2 linked regions of the Lonchura striata genome follow. The protein of the gene in region 1 purifies or fractionates together with the protein of each later gene. This does not show direct contact. Links are inferred from orthologs where the notes say so. Each region holds a gene or a part of one and is shown in the gene's direction. Other genes may lie near its edges.

Evidence for each region. Proteins that work in one complex are often made in the same cells at the same time.
Region 2: the proteins of PIDD1 (region 1) and CRADD purify together in Homo sapiens (affinity purification with western blotting; 8 studies listed by BioGRID and IntAct, with this or other methods). This does not show direct contact. The link is inferred for Lonchura striata from reciprocal best matches to the Homo sapiens genes PIDD1 and CRADD.

Annotation. Positions count from the first base shown.
Region 1 is NC_134608.1:44,802,636-44,810,468, reverse strand, and holds the start of PIDD1 (p53-induced death domain-containing protein 1), read left to right. Parts: upstream 1-4,801; 5' UTR 4,802-4,848; coding exon 4,849-5,122; intron 5,123-6,856; coding exon 6,857-7,270; intron 7,271-7,819; coding exon 7,820-7,833. UniProt on the Homo sapiens protein: Component of the DNA damage/stress response pathway that functions downstream of p53/TP53 and can either promote cell survival or apoptosis.
Region 2 is NC_134607.1:53,676,202-53,684,069, forward strand, and holds the start of CRADD (death domain-containing protein CRADD), read left to right. Parts: upstream 1-4,783; 5' UTR 4,784-4,920; intron 4,921-5,324; exon of another isoform or gene 5,325-5,406; intron 5,407-7,868. UniProt on the Homo sapiens protein: Adapter protein that associates with PIDD1 and the caspase CASP2 to form the PIDDosome, a complex that activates CASP2 and triggers apoptosis.

The DNA of each region.
Region 1 (7,833 bases):
ACGGCACCACTGCCGCGGAGGGGGGCGCGGCGCGCGCTCACCTGGGCGGCGGCGGCGGCGCGGGACGGCGGCCTGGGACGTGCGCGCGCGAGGGCAGGCGGAGGCGAAAGGAAGGGGCGGGGCCTCGGCAACGCCTTCTTCCCGCCACCCCTCAACAACGAGCGCTGCCATTGGGCCGCACCGGCGGGCAGCGCGCAGGCCAATGGGGAACCGCGGGTGCGGCCGCCGCCAGCGCGGCCGGCGGCGCATGCGCAGAGCGTGGGGTGCCCGCTGTGTGCTGCTGCGCGGCCTTGTTGTGTGTGCTGGGATGGGTGTGGTTCCCCAAAATCACGGAGTCACAGAGTGAATGAGACTGGAAAACACCGCTGCGACCATCCAGGCCAACCTCTTACCGAATACCACTCTGTCAGCTAGAACATGGCACTGAGTGCCACATTCAATCTTTCCTTAGACACCTCCAGCACCACCAGTCCCGGGCAGCCTGTTCCAAAGCCTGACCACTCTTTCTGTGGAGAAATTACTGCTGATGTTCAACCTAAACCTCTCCTGGCACAGCTTAATACTGTCCTCCAATTCTGGAATCCTGGCCTGGCCTGGCAGGATCAGCACAATCCCCTCTCTTTGTCCCATCAGTTGGGTTCTGCCTCCATGTGCACATCAGGCACATTCACACACAGTCTTCATATTTGCTTATTTTGTATCAGTGCAGAGATGGGCAGTGGGTGATGAATCCAGAAAGTCAGTGCCTGGCTCTGCATTTCTTCATGGAAAGGGTGGTCAGGCATTGGAAAAAGCTCCCCAGGGAGGTGGTGGAGCCATTGTCCCAGAGGTGTTCTGGGAACAGCTGGATGTACTAGTTAGCTTTGGTCTAGTTGGTCAGTGGTGGAACTTAATGATCTTGGAGTGGCCGGCAGGATTAGGGAAGTGAGCATCCCTCTGTACTTGGCACAAGTGAGGCCACCCCTCGAGCCCTGTGTCCAGTTCTGAGCCCCTCACTTCAATACAGACATTGAGGTGCTGGAATGTGTCTGGAGAAGGGCAATGGAGCTGGCAAAGGGTCTGGAGCACAAGTCTTGTGAGGAGCAGCTGAGGGAGTTGGGGGTGTTTAGCCTGGAAAAAGTGGGCTCAGGGGTGACCTTAGCACTTTGTACAGCCACCTGAAAGGAGGTTGTAGAAAGGCAGGGTTTAACCTCTTCTCCCAGGCAATTAGCAACAGGAAAAGACCTCAAACTGTGTCAGGAAAGGTTCAGCTTATATATTCAGAAGAATGTCTTCACACAAAGGGTGATTAGACATTGGAATAGACTGCCCAGGGCAATGGTGGAATCATCTTCCCTAGAGGTGTTTAAGGAAAGACTGGACGTGGTACTCAGTGCCATGGTCTAGTTGTCATGGGTTGGACTGAATGACCTTGGAGGTCTTTTCCAATCTGAGTAGCTTTGTGGTTCTGTGAAATACCTCAGCTCCATGTGTGGATCGGCTTCTTGCACACTGGGTGACAGAACCCGCTTGTGGGACAGCAGGGCTCTGTGCAGGAGGGACAGGGCTGCTGTCCTGTGCTGGGAGGCTGGGAGGTGGTAATCCATGGCAAGGTCTCGCCATAGGATTATGGGAGTCACCACCTGTGCTTGTTCACTTGATTTCCTGCACTGAGGAAATTAATAGAAGTAAAAAGTTAACACTGCGCTGAAAGCCATTGGACCCAAACAAACCAGGAGTGCTGGTTCAGCAGCAGAGCTGTGTGTGGGCTGTGGCTGTCCCTGCCTTGCTGCCCTGGAGGTGCCCCAGAGATCCTCAGTGTTGGGGCTTCTGTGCTAGTTCAGGTGCTCTCAGAAAACAACCAGGCTCAGAGTGCTACAACTCAGCCAGAGCCTGGAGTAGTCAGTGGTTACTGTCTACTATGTGTAGGAAGAGGAATTTCCCTCAGCCACGTGCAGCTTGCATCCAGAGTCCCAGAATGAATTCAGTTGGGAAGGTCTTCTGAGACCTTCAAGTCCAACCTGTGACCAAACACCACCTTGTCAACTAGACCATGGCACTGAGTGCCACATCCAGTCCTTCCTTAAACGCTTCCAGAGATGGTGACTAGATCAGTTCCCCGGGCATGTCGTTCTAATGCCTGAGCACCCTTTCTATGAAGAAATTCTTCCTGATGTCCAGCCTGAACCTGGACATCAGCTGGAGAGCATGTCCTCCTGTCCTGTCGCTTGTTTCTTGGGAGAAGAGGCTGAACCCCACCTGGCTACAAACCTCCTTTCAGGGCAGCCCCAGCCCTGCGCACTCTTAGGCTCGCAGCCCCTGCTCCATTTCTCTCCCTGGAATGAGCACAACCCCCGGCGGTGCCCGTGCCTCCCTCTCCCTTGGAGCCTAGGGGAGCCAGACGGGACGGGCTGCGGTGCCGGGACCGTGGCCGTGTCGGGAAATCTCCTTTCGTGCCCTTGCTGTGGCAGCAGGAAGGGCACGGCTCCCCATAGCAGCCGGCCGATGTCCCGCTGCCTCCAGCGCCTCCCCCGCGCCGTCCCGCCCCGGATCGCGGCGCGGCTCCCAAGAACTTTTCAGGAAGTGGCGGGCAGAGCCCGGCGCAGCCCAGCCCCGGCGGGCCGGGGCCGCTGCGGAGGGGTGAGAGCGGCGGGGCCGTGCTCGGCCGGGCACGGGGCGCGCCTGCGGCTGCTGCCGGGACCTGGGCAGCGGCGTGGGGTGACGGGCCAGGGGCACAGCGTGCTGCGGACAGCCCGGCCCGGCTGTGCGTGTCCGTGTGCGGGGTGTGTGTCCGTGTCTGTGTGCGGGGTGTGTGTGTCCATGCGGGGGGCTGTGTGTGTCCATGTGCGGGGTGCGTGTCCGTGTGCGGGGCTGTGTGTGTCCGTGTGCAGGGCTGTGTGTGTCTATGTGCGGGGTGTGTGTGTCCGTGTGCGGGTGTGTGTGTCCGTGTGCGGAGTGTGTGTCTATGTGCGGGGTGTGCGTGTCCATGCGCGGGGCTGTGTGTGTCCATATGCAGGGTGTGCGTGTCCGTGTGCGGGGTGCGTGTCCGTGTGCGGAGTGTGTGTCTGTGTTCGGGCTGTGTGTGTCCACGCGCGGGGCTGTGTGTGTCCATGTGCAGGGTGCGTGTCCGTGTGCGGGGTGTGTGTCCATGTGCAGGGTGCGTGTCCGTGTGCGGGGTGCATGTCCGTGTGCGGGGTGCGTGTCCGTGTGCGGAGTGTGTGTCTGTGTTCGGGCTGTGTGTGTCCACGCGCGGGGCTGTGTGTGTCCATGTGCAGGGTGCGTGTCCGTGTGCGGGGTGTGTGTCCATGTGCAGGGTGCGTGTCCGTGTGCGGGGTGCATGTCCGTGTGCGGGGTGTGTGTGTGTGTCTATGTGCGGGGTGTGTGTGTCTGTGTGCGGGGTGTGTGTGTCCGTATGCGGGGTGTGTGTGTCCGTATGCGGGCTGTGTGTGTATGTGCGGGCTGTGTGTCCGTGTGCGGGGTGCGTGTCTGTGTGCGGTGTGTGTGTGTCCATATGCGTGGTGTGTGTGTCCGTGTGTGGGGTGTGTGTCCGTGTGCAGGCTGTGTGTCTGTGTGCGGGTGTGTGTCCACGTGCAGGGCTGTGTGTCCATGTGAAGATGTGTGTTTCAGAGTGTCTGCAGCACCATGTCTACCCATGTCTGTTGCCCCTGAGGCCGCCTCTGTGGCTTCTGGAGATGCCCTCTGGTTCCTTCACCACTGACAGTTTTACAAAGCTATAGCTGATGGATTTTATTCTTACATGTGTCTGTAAGGGGGATATGTACATGTTGTGCACAATGTCTTTGTAAGAAGTGCTCACCTTTATACTAAAGCAGTAGTTTCACTTTTATCCCATTGGCACTCAGTTTCTCAAACCAGGTTCAACGAGGACCCAGTACAATTTGTGAGCTGCCTCTGGGCTCTGCTTCCTCTTCTTCTTGCCTTTACATTTCTGTCCTTTCAGAGTGAGGCATTTCTGCTGCTTCAGGGGATGACGCCTCCCCCAGACTGTGTCTTGGGAACATCAGTGCTGCCATGTCCCACAGGCTAACAGTAAAGGTGCTGCTCCTCAGGGTGTTGCTGGGGCATTATCTTCTTTCTGCTGGCCTTGGACTTTAAAGCCAAGTTTGTTCTAATTCTGCATTACTCAAAAGAAACTTCTGTTTACCAGTTTGATCCATGGCAGGGTTAACAAAGAGCTCCTGATATTCACACTGTGAGCTAGTTTAATTGCCCAGCTCAGGAGGTGTTACTCCTGCACCACCAACATGCCTTTTCTAACCCTCTTGCTGCCCCTATCACATTTTCTCTGCTGCCCTTTGTCCATTTGCTTTTATCCCATTGACACTGGGTTTCACAACCGGGTTTGATGGGGACCTGTCACAGTCTGTCACCTCTGGGCTCTGCTTCTGGCTCAGCTCTCCCTGCCCCAGTTTTCTTCTCTACTTGTAAAGCTTCCTACTAAGGCATCTTGAAATCTACATTAGGCGTAGGCATTTACATTTGTGTCTTTTAAAGTTAATATTGGTCTTTATTCTGATGGTGCATAATTGCTCCATTTCCTGCTGAGATGTTGGCTGGAAAAATTCAGAGGTTTTTCTCTAGGAGGAGAAGCCCCTGTGACATCTGTCATGTTGCATTTCTGTGCTCTTTGCTCCAAAGCTTTCAGTAGCATGCATGTAATCTTTCCTACCATCTTGCTGTGATTATGAACTGTTTCCAGCCACTCTGGACTGGGGCAGGAAGCTTCATTGTGTACCTGTGTTCTTTTTCAGAGCCATCTTTGCTCCTCTCCTTGTCCCAGCTGCCTTGTGGTGCTGCCAGTGCCTGCCTGCCTGGCAAGTCAGAGCATGTCTAGACCCTGTGGATGAGATGCAGAAGATGGCAGAGCTGCTGGGGCTCAGGGATGAGTGTGAGGAGGGGACTGTGGGGGCTCCTGCCCTCGCTGGCTCCTGCCTTGCTGACAACAGACTGAACCTGGATGTTTATCCTGACGGCTGCCGCCGTTTCCTCCAGCTATTCAAGGAGCAACAGGGAGAGGTGGTCCAGGTTGAGTTCCTCCGGCTCAGCAGCAACGATTGCCTCCTTGACACCACACTGGGCAGCCTTCCTCATCTGAAGCACCTGAAATCCCTGGTGCTTAAAGGTAAATTCTGGGGTCCGTCGCCATCCAGCTTTTCTAAGCTCATATTTTTTATCCTTCTCTCCATATCTGCAGGACAAACTGTCCTTGGAAGTGTTTTGTTCCAGTGCCCCTTACCTCAGCTTTGGCTCAGCCTTGCTCAGAGCTGAATGCAGATTTCAACATGATACAGCTTCTGGACTCTTATTTCCTCCCTTTGTTTTTACAGCTGCCTGGGGACTGGGTTTTTGGAGTCTCGTTCAGTTGATGCTGCAGCATTTTCTATAGCCATTCTCTAGAAGAAGAGCATTTTTGCAGTTATGCAAGAAGAGGGATTGAAAGGTGTTGAATCTTTTGGTGAATGTTCAGCCCCTATTTAGTCTTGCTTAGTGTAAGTTTAGCAAAGTTCAAGACAGACCAGAAAATGCTGTTTGACATTTTATGTAAAGTAGGACACAGGGTGTGCATGTAATTTAGAAAAGTGTGATAACTGTTAGAGCTATAAATATTAGATCATTCTTGGACTGTCTCATCAATTTATTGTGGTAGGATCTCAATACAACAAGCATTGTTTCTGTGTCAGACTGAATAATTTGCTCTTTGGGAGGTAGAATTTTAAAAATAAATGAGAAAAAAAAGGGGAGTTTTGGGGCAGAATTCAGGGTTCCAGCTGAAAACTGAAAAGTCTAAGGTTTGCTTCTATATCTGTCATAAATTTTCATGTGAATAATTTGATTTGTGTTTTCCCCCTTTAGTAAGGTGGCAATAACAGCAGTAACCTTTATCAGTCTTGTTTTGTGAGATGTACACACACCCTGAGCATTCTGAAGTGCAATAAAGTAGTTCAGTAAGATCTTATGTACAAAGTGCAATGTGCCTAGTTCAGTAAGCTCTTATGTACAAAGTGCAATGTGCCTATTTGCTTGTTCTCATTTTGTACCATTATGCAGCATAAAAAAATGTTTGGTGCCCTCTGCTGTATATGGATATAAATAGAAAACAGTAGAGAAGGAGTATGAAACAATGAATAAGTGGAACATTTGGAAGTTTCCTTTTGTTTGCTCAAGTTATTTTCCAGGGCTGCAGCCCTTCTCTAACTTGAGTGTCACAAGCTGGGATACGGAACTTTCATTCTTTGCTCTCTGTGTCTGCCTACAAAATACTGAATTACCTACTTCCCCCACACACATTTTCACTGCTTTCCTCCTGTCTGCCTAGAAAATACTGAATTACTTGCTTTTTCCTCCCGCATTTTCCCTGCTCAGACGTGCCCCCCAGTCTTGCAAGGGCAGATACCAGTCCTCAGGGCTGTTTGCTTCTGAACAGCATGGATAAATCATTGAGGGCAAGGACTATTTCCTTGATCCAGAAAGTCTTGTGCGTTGGCCACTGGTAGTGAGGAAGAAGTGAGGAAGGAGAGTGGGAGGCTTGGAGGTATATGGGCCATCCTGCTGAAGTGTGGTAAATGTGTGGGGTGGCGTGGCTCATTCTGAGCTTTCACTCCAGATGTGTTGAACAGAGCTGTACTGGTTCACTGTGGTATCTCCTGGTTTCATAACAGCTCTTCACTGTTACACTCCTTTCACTGATCAGGAAACAGGCACGGAGCAGAAAACTCACTTATCTGAGCACTTTGTGATTAGTGCTGCTCATTGTTATCAGTAACTCCCAATCTTGTGAATCTCTGTGCTGAGTCTCACATGAGGCTGGTGAGCTCTCCTGGTAGCATACTGACCTCTTCCATTTCCCTCCACCCAGGTGGCCTTGCTAGGGATGAGTTTGGTTCCTATCAACATGGCTCCCTGACAAGCTTGCCACCTGACTTTGGGGACCTCAGGTGTCTTACCCACCTGGATCTCAGCTTCAATAGACTCTCCACCTTGCCGAGCTGCATTCTCCACCTCCCCAGCCTCCGTGTGCTCCTGGTGAGCCACAACAGCCTGATGACACTTCCTGAGGACTTTGGCTCTCTGAGTAAACTGACTTTCTTCTCTGCAATGAAAAATCAGCTGAAAGACTTACCTCAGAGCATTGGGGAGCTGTCATTGCTGCAGGATCTGGATCTCTCAGAAAATGCTTTGGAACTGCTCCCTGAAGAAGTTGGGAATCTGCACAACTGTACAGAGCTGGATCTCTCTGGGAATCGCTTATTAAGCATCCCAGAATCCCTAGGTATGTATTTTATTGGGGAAGAGAAGGACGTGGGCTTTGCCAAGCTTTTGGTACAACCTCTGAGACTCTTGGTCTCTACCCCAGAGCTGTTAGCATAAACTATTTTATGTTGGAGCCAAATGGAAGGGGTATGCAGAAGGATACTGCTTGGTTCAGTCAGTGCCTTTGAGCATTAACAACTCTGGATCACACTTCCTGTTTCTGTGAATCATAAACACTGCTGAAATTTCAATACAATTTACAATGACTGAGGATCTGGCCTGGCTGGTTTTGGGTAGCAGAAGAGCTGAGGTTGGTGGGATGAGAATCTGGGCTTGAAATCACACTGTCCAGTGTGGACCAGTCCACAGAACTGGGCCCTGACTTCTGCTGGCCAGCATCCTGGGTCCTGTATTACTTTGTGACTGAGGCTGATTTTGCTGCTGTTAAGCTTTTGTGCTTTTCCCTCATTATGTGTGTGTTGACATGGGCTGAGGAGAGAGGGTTGGAGCTGATATGCAATGCAATTAACAGCACGGATGGGGGGTCATTTCTTGTTCCAACCTGCAGCCAATTTGAAGTCT
Region 2 (7,868 bases), on another chromosome or scaffold:
TAAAAATAGAGAACTACATTAATTCATATGTTTAAAGGACTACAAATTCTGAGAAATACTGAGTCATGTTTTGCAAGTATTAATTACACTTTTTTTTTTTAATTCACTGGATTTTTTAAATGAAATGTATACAAAAGTTTTGCAGTGGATGCCTGCTTCCTTTTTATAATTATTTATCATTAAACTTTTTGCTAGAGATTATTTGTATCATAGTAAAAAGCACTAAGAATTCATTGCAGTACTGCTAATAAATACTTATTTTTATTATGGAAACAAATGTAAATGTATAGACACTACAGAGTCAGTTTAAACCCTATGTTTTAAGATGCTTTAGAACTTTCTGTGTTATATTTTACCCACGTGCTGGACGTGCCTTTTAATAAAATACTACTTTCAAGGAAGTTCATGACGTGTCACCTATATTTTATAGTAATTCCTCTCTTTGATCTGCATTGAATTTAAAGTCTTTATTATTTAAATGAATGAAAGTTACAGAGTATCAGAACAATTGCACAGCAGCCCAAGGGCCAATCCCTTTCAGTGATGTGCTTCAGTCCTGCCTGTCATCTTTTTTTAGGAAGGATAAGGAATCATTTTTCGAGTAGCAAAAGCCACCTGAAGAGCTTCTCAAGAGCACCCCTTCCCATCTGAGCATCTAGTGCCCTCATATCCTGCCAGCATCCAGCACAGCATGCCTAAGATTTGGTCTACAGTTTGGGGAAACTTTCTATACCAAACCCTTCCCTTCCTTGGCATCAGCCAGGTTTTCAGTGACTGGCACAGGAGATTTGGATGTTAGCATTACAGAGGCCCACGGCTGCAAAGGGGAGTGCAATGGGGACCAGGGGAAGGAGGAAGAGAAGAGGGGGGAAGGGAAGGGGTTACTGCCTGGGATAGCAGTGGACAGCAATGGTTTGCAAGACCCTCATCTGGCCTTCAGGCCACCTAGTTTGGCTCACCCTAACTTACATTTTAACACTGTTTTTGAGATGCATGACTTACAGAAATGTTCACTGCACTCTTTCATAAAACTGACAGGCAAGCATACAAGATGTATTTCTCTTTTCCCTTAATTTCTGAGGTTTTGTGAGAGATTTAACCAATTAGATGTGCTTTTAATAAACAAATCTAGAGGCTCCTATTTTTTCTCTTGTCCCTAAAGCTGGAATGCTGTCCTGCAAACAATTGAAAACAGCACAATCCTAATACATTAAATCTGCTTGTGCCAGTTTTAAGAACACATTTGGCCTCGTTATCAGCATAAAACAAACTAGTCTGTAGAAAACAAATTACACACATGCTTAGATACAGCTTGACTCTAATTAGCATAAAGGATCCTCTCAAAAGCATTTAAAAAATCTCATTATTCTGGTACAGTTTCTAAAAAGGTTTGTGACTTTTAAGTGAGCTTTTAAAAGGTGCATAATAAATGTAAAAATCTGGCTTAACTTACATGTAAAATGAATAGCATTGCCAGAAGAGATACTGCTTAGCTTGGCTCCCAAAGATTTGGACTTGTGACCCTGAATTCAGCAGTCCTTAAAAGTGTGGCCTGATGAGCACCGATGGCCCCTCAATCTGCAGAACCAGACAGCACAAGCTTTTAAGACTAAAAGTCTGAGGATACTGATGCGGAAGATTGACTATAGTCCATTGATCATTGTATTCTAGGAAATAGTTCTTTAATCTACATGGTTAGCTTTGAGATTTGAGCAGTTAGTGGGGCATTGAATTGACACCAAACTGGCTAAAATATATATATATGTATTTATTTGTCCTTAAAACTGAAGTAGAACCAAACCATGTCTCTGAAGTTTTGTTGAACTTGGACCAGAAGTGGAAGACCTTTAGTGAGGGTTGAACCCAAAATGGACTGAAACAAAGAATTTAAGGACTTCTCTCCTTGGATTTAAAGTATTAACTCTTTGTGTCTTTATCCTGTACCTGTACTATATAATCAAAAGCTGTCTGTGTTGCTAAAGATGAACCCAAAACACAGTAGCATATTTAGTTTCCACTAAATAAATTTGCAGCACTAGTTATTAACTAGTGGGGGGAAAAGGAAGGGCCAGATTTTCCCTTAATGAGATTTGGACCTCTGGTGCTGTCCTCTTCCTTCCTAGGCTTATCTCTTTCCTTTCACTGCTTTCCTTCTTTCTATCTTTGTTCAGACTGCAAGCAAATACATGACTAAATGCTGACTGTATAACTGCTGTAATTTCCTTGAATGAAATCTGGAGTCGCTCTATGCATATCCATATGTTTTGCTAACTTTCTAAGACATTCTTGGATAGTATAAATTTAAAAAATCAAATTGCCTCATCTGGCAAAAGGATATAGTAAATAAAGTGATGTAACTGCTTGTCCTAATTTTCTATTTTAAAATGCAGCCACATTATCTGCAATTAAAAGCAGCTGTCAGGATTGCAATGATGAGATTTTCTGAAGCCTCCAAGTTTGGTCACTCCAATTCCAGATATAATACAGACCCTTAGATCATGACAGAAAGAAAGAAAAGGAAGTAAAGAAAAGAAAGGAAAGAAAGGAAGAAAAAGGAAGAAAGGAAGGAAGAGAGAGAAAACCAGCAGCACTGACAATCAGAAGTACAAGAAGCTGGGACAGGAAACTCTCAGTAGCTATGCAGTGCTCTGTTGAGGAACAATCATACAGGCAGTTTGTGGTGTCTCTGCTCCCTGGAGCTGTGCTGTACTGTTTGCAAACGTATCTCCTCACAACTAGTATTACAAACGTTGTGGCAAGAAAATTTAACACCACCTCAGTTGTACTTTGGCTACAACAGCAGCATACTTCTTGGAGTTACTGATGATGATGACTTACTTGTGTGGCTTCCAGTGTTGTCAAATATGTTAATGCATTGCTCTGAAACAACCCAGAGGAGTATTTAGATTTTTTTATATCTTCATTCCTAGAAGACTAACATGTGCCTGAGACAAAAAAAATATTTACCTTGGTTTACCAGCTGTATTGTAAGAAGATATTATTTATCAATTATTCACAAGCAATTTAACCCCCTGTATCCAATTTATTACTTATATATAATTATAGATAAAAGTGTTATGTCATGAAACCAAAACACTGCTTTAAAACTGCCAAATAAGTAGCATCCCTGCAGAAGCTGGCCACATGATATATGTATCTATATTTTTAAAACATTTCTTAAAACCAGCATACAAACTTTGCCTTTAAGGCTGATTTACATTCTGTGTCCACATAAATTTTCAACTGTCAGCCACAGGAAAATCAAAGGAAAAGGAATTAAGATTCCTGAGTGTGACTGCCTATCTTTATGCAAAATCTTGTAGATAAATATAATGTTAAGCATAGGCAGAATGTGAACTCTACTCTTGGTTACATTTTTCCATGGCAAGTACAGTACAGTACAGTTTCCTGGGTACAGTATCTAGGAAAGGCATGTAAAGGTTTCCACAACTAGCTTCCAACTACCCTTAAATATTTCAAATACCCTTAAATTTGTACAATTAGTCTAAACAGAGTGTACAAATGGGGTTCACAAGGTGACGACGTTTCTAGCAGCAGCTGCAGCAACCACTTTTCCTGCTTTTCCAGAGGGTAGGTATTAGCACGCTGTGCAGACCACAGCCAGCTTGCTGTGCCTGCCTGCAGCTTCAAAGGTAGTACGTTCCAGCACTGGAAGATCTTTTTTTTCCCCTTTCATCACTATTGCGGTCCCGACATGAAAGAAAAAGGGCTGACACCATCAATCCCGTGTGACACCTGACACCTATGCAAAGACGGAAAAAAGTTATTTCATGATGTGTGAGTGAAAGTGACACCACCTCATTTTTACAGCTCTGTGAATCACACTCTTCTCCTCTCTACCATATTTCGTTTCCAGGTATCCATATAAAAATAAGTGAATAATACACTATTCACTAGTAGAGGAATAAAACAACAGAATGTCCATAGCATTGTGGTAGACACAGGCCAGCTCTTAATTTAATAAATTATTTTCATCTATTAAAAGATTCTTCATTTTTAAGCTGTTCAGATGAAAGTAATGAAGCTAAATGTGTCCATTATTCGATATAATACTGCTCTGTGTTTGATACGACGATGCCAGCACCAGGATGAAGTTCAGCTTAGCGCATACTCACAGATAGCAACCAGTGTACCTAGGGAGTAATGAGATCAGCTGTTTCTAATATCATTAAAACTGCAATTTCGTAATTCCGAATTTAATTTTGGATACAACCCCTCTCCTCACTAAACACCCCCACCACCACCCTGACTCCTGATAGCGCAGCAGGTCCTCCGAATTCCTGGAAAGGCACCTCCTTGGCGGAGTCACCTCCCGTCCCCGCCCCGGCCCCGGCCGCGGCAAGGAGCAGCGGCGGCAGCGCCGGGCCCCTTCCAGCGCTCGGTCCCGGCCCCCGCGGCTGGCACTGCGGCCGCTCGGCCCCGGCCCCGGCCCCCGCGGCTGGCACTGCGGCCGCTCGGCCCCGGTCCCGGCCCCGGTCCCGGCCCCCGCGGCTAGCACTGCGGCCGCTCGGCCCCGGTCCCGGTCCCGGCCCCGGTCCCGGCCCCCGCGGCTAGCACTGCGGCCGCTCGGCCCCGGTCCCGGCCCCGGCCCCGGTCCCGGCCCCCGCGGCTAGCACTGCGGCCGCTCGGCCCCGGTCCCGGCCCCGGTCCCGGTCCCGGCCCCCGCGGCTGGCACTGCGGCCGCTCGGCCCCGGTCCCGGTCCCGGCCCCCGCGGCTGGCACGGCGGGCGCGGCCCCTCCCGCGCTCCGGCCGGCAGCGGCCGCCCCTCCTCGGCCGGCCCGCAGCAGGGCGGCGGCGGCGGCTTCCGGCGGCGCCCTGCTGCCTTCAACAAAGATGGTGCTTCCCGCGCAAGCTCCGCGGGCGCCGGCGCCTCCCGGGTAGCCTCCCGCTCCCCTCGGGTGAGTACGGGCGGGGCGGCGGGCGCTCCCCGCACGCAGCTCGCTTGCCCGGGCGCTGCCGACGGCTGCCCTCGGCAGCGCCTGGGGCGGGAGGGCCGGGGGAAGCGGGAGAGCGGTGCCGCGGGGCCGTTCGGCGGCGCCCCCGGCGCTGCGGGGCCGGGGCGGGGGCCGGGCTTCCGCGGGGAGGCCGGGCCGGGCCGGCGGGGCCGCCTCCGCGCAGCCCTGCCCGGCGGGAGGCCGGGACGGGAGGAAGGCCGGGCGCTGCTGCTGCCTGCGGGGCTCGGGCCGCGGTGCGGGCAGCTGGCCCCTGGCTGCTGCTACCCGAGCAGCAGCTGCCGGCGCTCGGCAGAGAAGACTTTAAAAGCAAAACTTGCCTTTTTTTTTTTTTTTTTTTTTTTAAATTTCCTGGCGGGGTGGGGGGGATGTGTAAGATTTTTGACCTGTAGGCTTGCTGTGAGTAGCCAGAATAATTCATGGGGTAGTCAGGTGAGTGCAGTTGGTGTTCTGGAAAACAATGAAATGTTTCTAGCGGAAAAACTTAAGTGAATTTGCCTTTTTAGTGTCAGCAGGGGTTCTTATAAAAAGTTTTATCCCCATTTATGTACAGTCACTCTGTCAGATCCAGAAAAAGGCAAACTTGATTGTGTTGATGTGGTGATGAGTCAAGGACTGCTCATTCAGCAGGTCATGGGCTATATTTCTTAAAATTTGGCTTTATAATGGAAAAAAATCCATTTTCAGAAGTATCTAGGGAATGTTTGAGTCATCTTTTGCGTAAATGGACATCTCATAGTTTTCATTTTCTGTAAAATTACTTGACTAAATTTAATTCAGAGCTTACTTTGAATCCGTAGATACAGACGGTGATTTAAATGAATTTGTTACTTCTGTGTTGCACTAAACTCTGTCCCAACACTGTTACACATCAAAATCCTGATATATTTCCATATCTAGCTGCTTAGTTCCTAAGTCAGACATTTGCTTATCATCGTAAACACATACAAATACTTTATCTTTAAAAAGACCTCAGAAACCGGTATGCCCCATCCTGGAAGTTTACCAGGCTGATGCAAGGACTTTAAACCCTCTGTTGTACACACTCTGCAGTCAGCAAGGCAAAGGGCTTTTGCAGCAGAAATTCCCCCTTCTGATCCCTGGCTGATAGGCATTTCTCAGTGCCCAAAGGTGCAAACCTTTGGTTTGTAAGATTTATTTTTGAAAAATGTTGGCTGCTTTGGTTGTGAAGAAGAGGAACTCATCAAGTTCTGTACAGTCATCCAGCATATGAGGAGGCTCCTGAATGGGGACTCTCAGGGCCCATTCAGAATATGCAACACAAAAATTTTTTAGTATGTGAAACAGTTTTCTGCCTGGGTTGAGATGACACCCTCAGAGGTGCTGCTGGATGCCTTTCTTGAACTCTGCAAGTGCTTCATGAGCTCAAGGGTGTTCTCCTAGAAAGAAGAAGTGGTAGGATTTACTGCCTGAATTTTGCTGTAGTCCAGAGATTGCTTTCTACAGTGTAAAGGTACTATGTGTTAGAGACCAGAATCTTCAGCTTCAGTGGGAAAAGCCATTTCTCTTTCTTGCCTGCTCTTTTTCCATCTCCTTGCTTGCACTACTGTCTCAGTCCATGATGGTGTTTGATGTTTGAACTGTGCTGGGTAAACTGGCATTTCTTAGGGACATAGCATAGGCATTACAGTGTTTGATTCCCACATGATCCCTAGACAGAAGGTAAGAACTAGAAATTCACTATAGTAGGTGAGAAATGCACTGGATAGCCTGGGAAGGATGGAGTCCTCCAGGAAGATACTTTCCAGCAGTGCTTTTAGCACTTGATGGAAGCATTTTTGGAAAGTAGCTTTGTCAGAGGATATCACAGACAGGGTTTTCCAGTGTCTCTCATGACACTGTGCTCTTGCATTCTGTCCAAGGTGGCATTTACATGCCAGTATGTTCTGTTAGTCACCCTCCTTGATTTTAACAACCAGGCCAACCACACAGTCTTTGATGGGGCTCTGGGAGTCAGCAGGCATCTCTGATGGCAAAAAGACTTCATCAAGTTTCATGTAAAAGCTTTGAGAATTCTGTCTCTTCTTGTACCCTCAAGCTGAATGAAGTAGAGTTTTTGCAAAGTTTAGCGGTTCAAACAGCAGTGCCTAATTTAATTGTGAGAAACCCTCTTGGTAATCACACTCAACACCTGCTGCTATTTTTTGACTTTATTATTTAGTAATGAGAAAGTATTTAATTGTGTTGTCCTGTCATTTTCAAGTGCCATTAAATGGGCTCAGGGATACGTTTGTTGTTAAGAACTAGACTAGACACTTTGATTTGGTTTGAAGGTCTGGCATGGACTGCTGACTTGATCTTGGATGAGCTGCTTGATCTCTCTGGACCCTGATTATTCTTTCATAGAGTGGCTATAAAATGCATCTTGAGCTTTTGTTTAGTCAGAGTGTTAGTCAAGTGAAATGGAAGCTGGCAGAGGGCATCTGATCCCTTCCTGTGAGCACATAAGAAGAGAGGGAGAAAAGCTATTTAAGCTAAAGAACAGTTTTGGCAGAAGATATGCCTATAAATAGAAAGGGATAAATCTGAGATGGAAATTCAAAGAAAGTTTCTTCTCATCAGAGCAGTTGAGTTCTAGAGCAATCTTCCCGGATGATTCAAGGGTGAGAACGACGTGGTACATAAGATACTTTTCTACCCCTCTTAAACTTGAACTGCATCATGTAGGCCAAAGCTACCTGCTGATTCTGTCCCTGCTGCTGCTGTTGCTTCTGCCTGGCTGAGATGAATGTACCTGTCCTGCTGCTGCTTTTGTAATTCTAGCAGTGGTCAGGTGTAACATCTCTTTAATTTTGGGGGATTGTGTCTCTTAAGGACTGGCAAGTGCTTTTGCTGCCTTTAGTATGGATCTTAACCAGTTAATAGGAGGATTA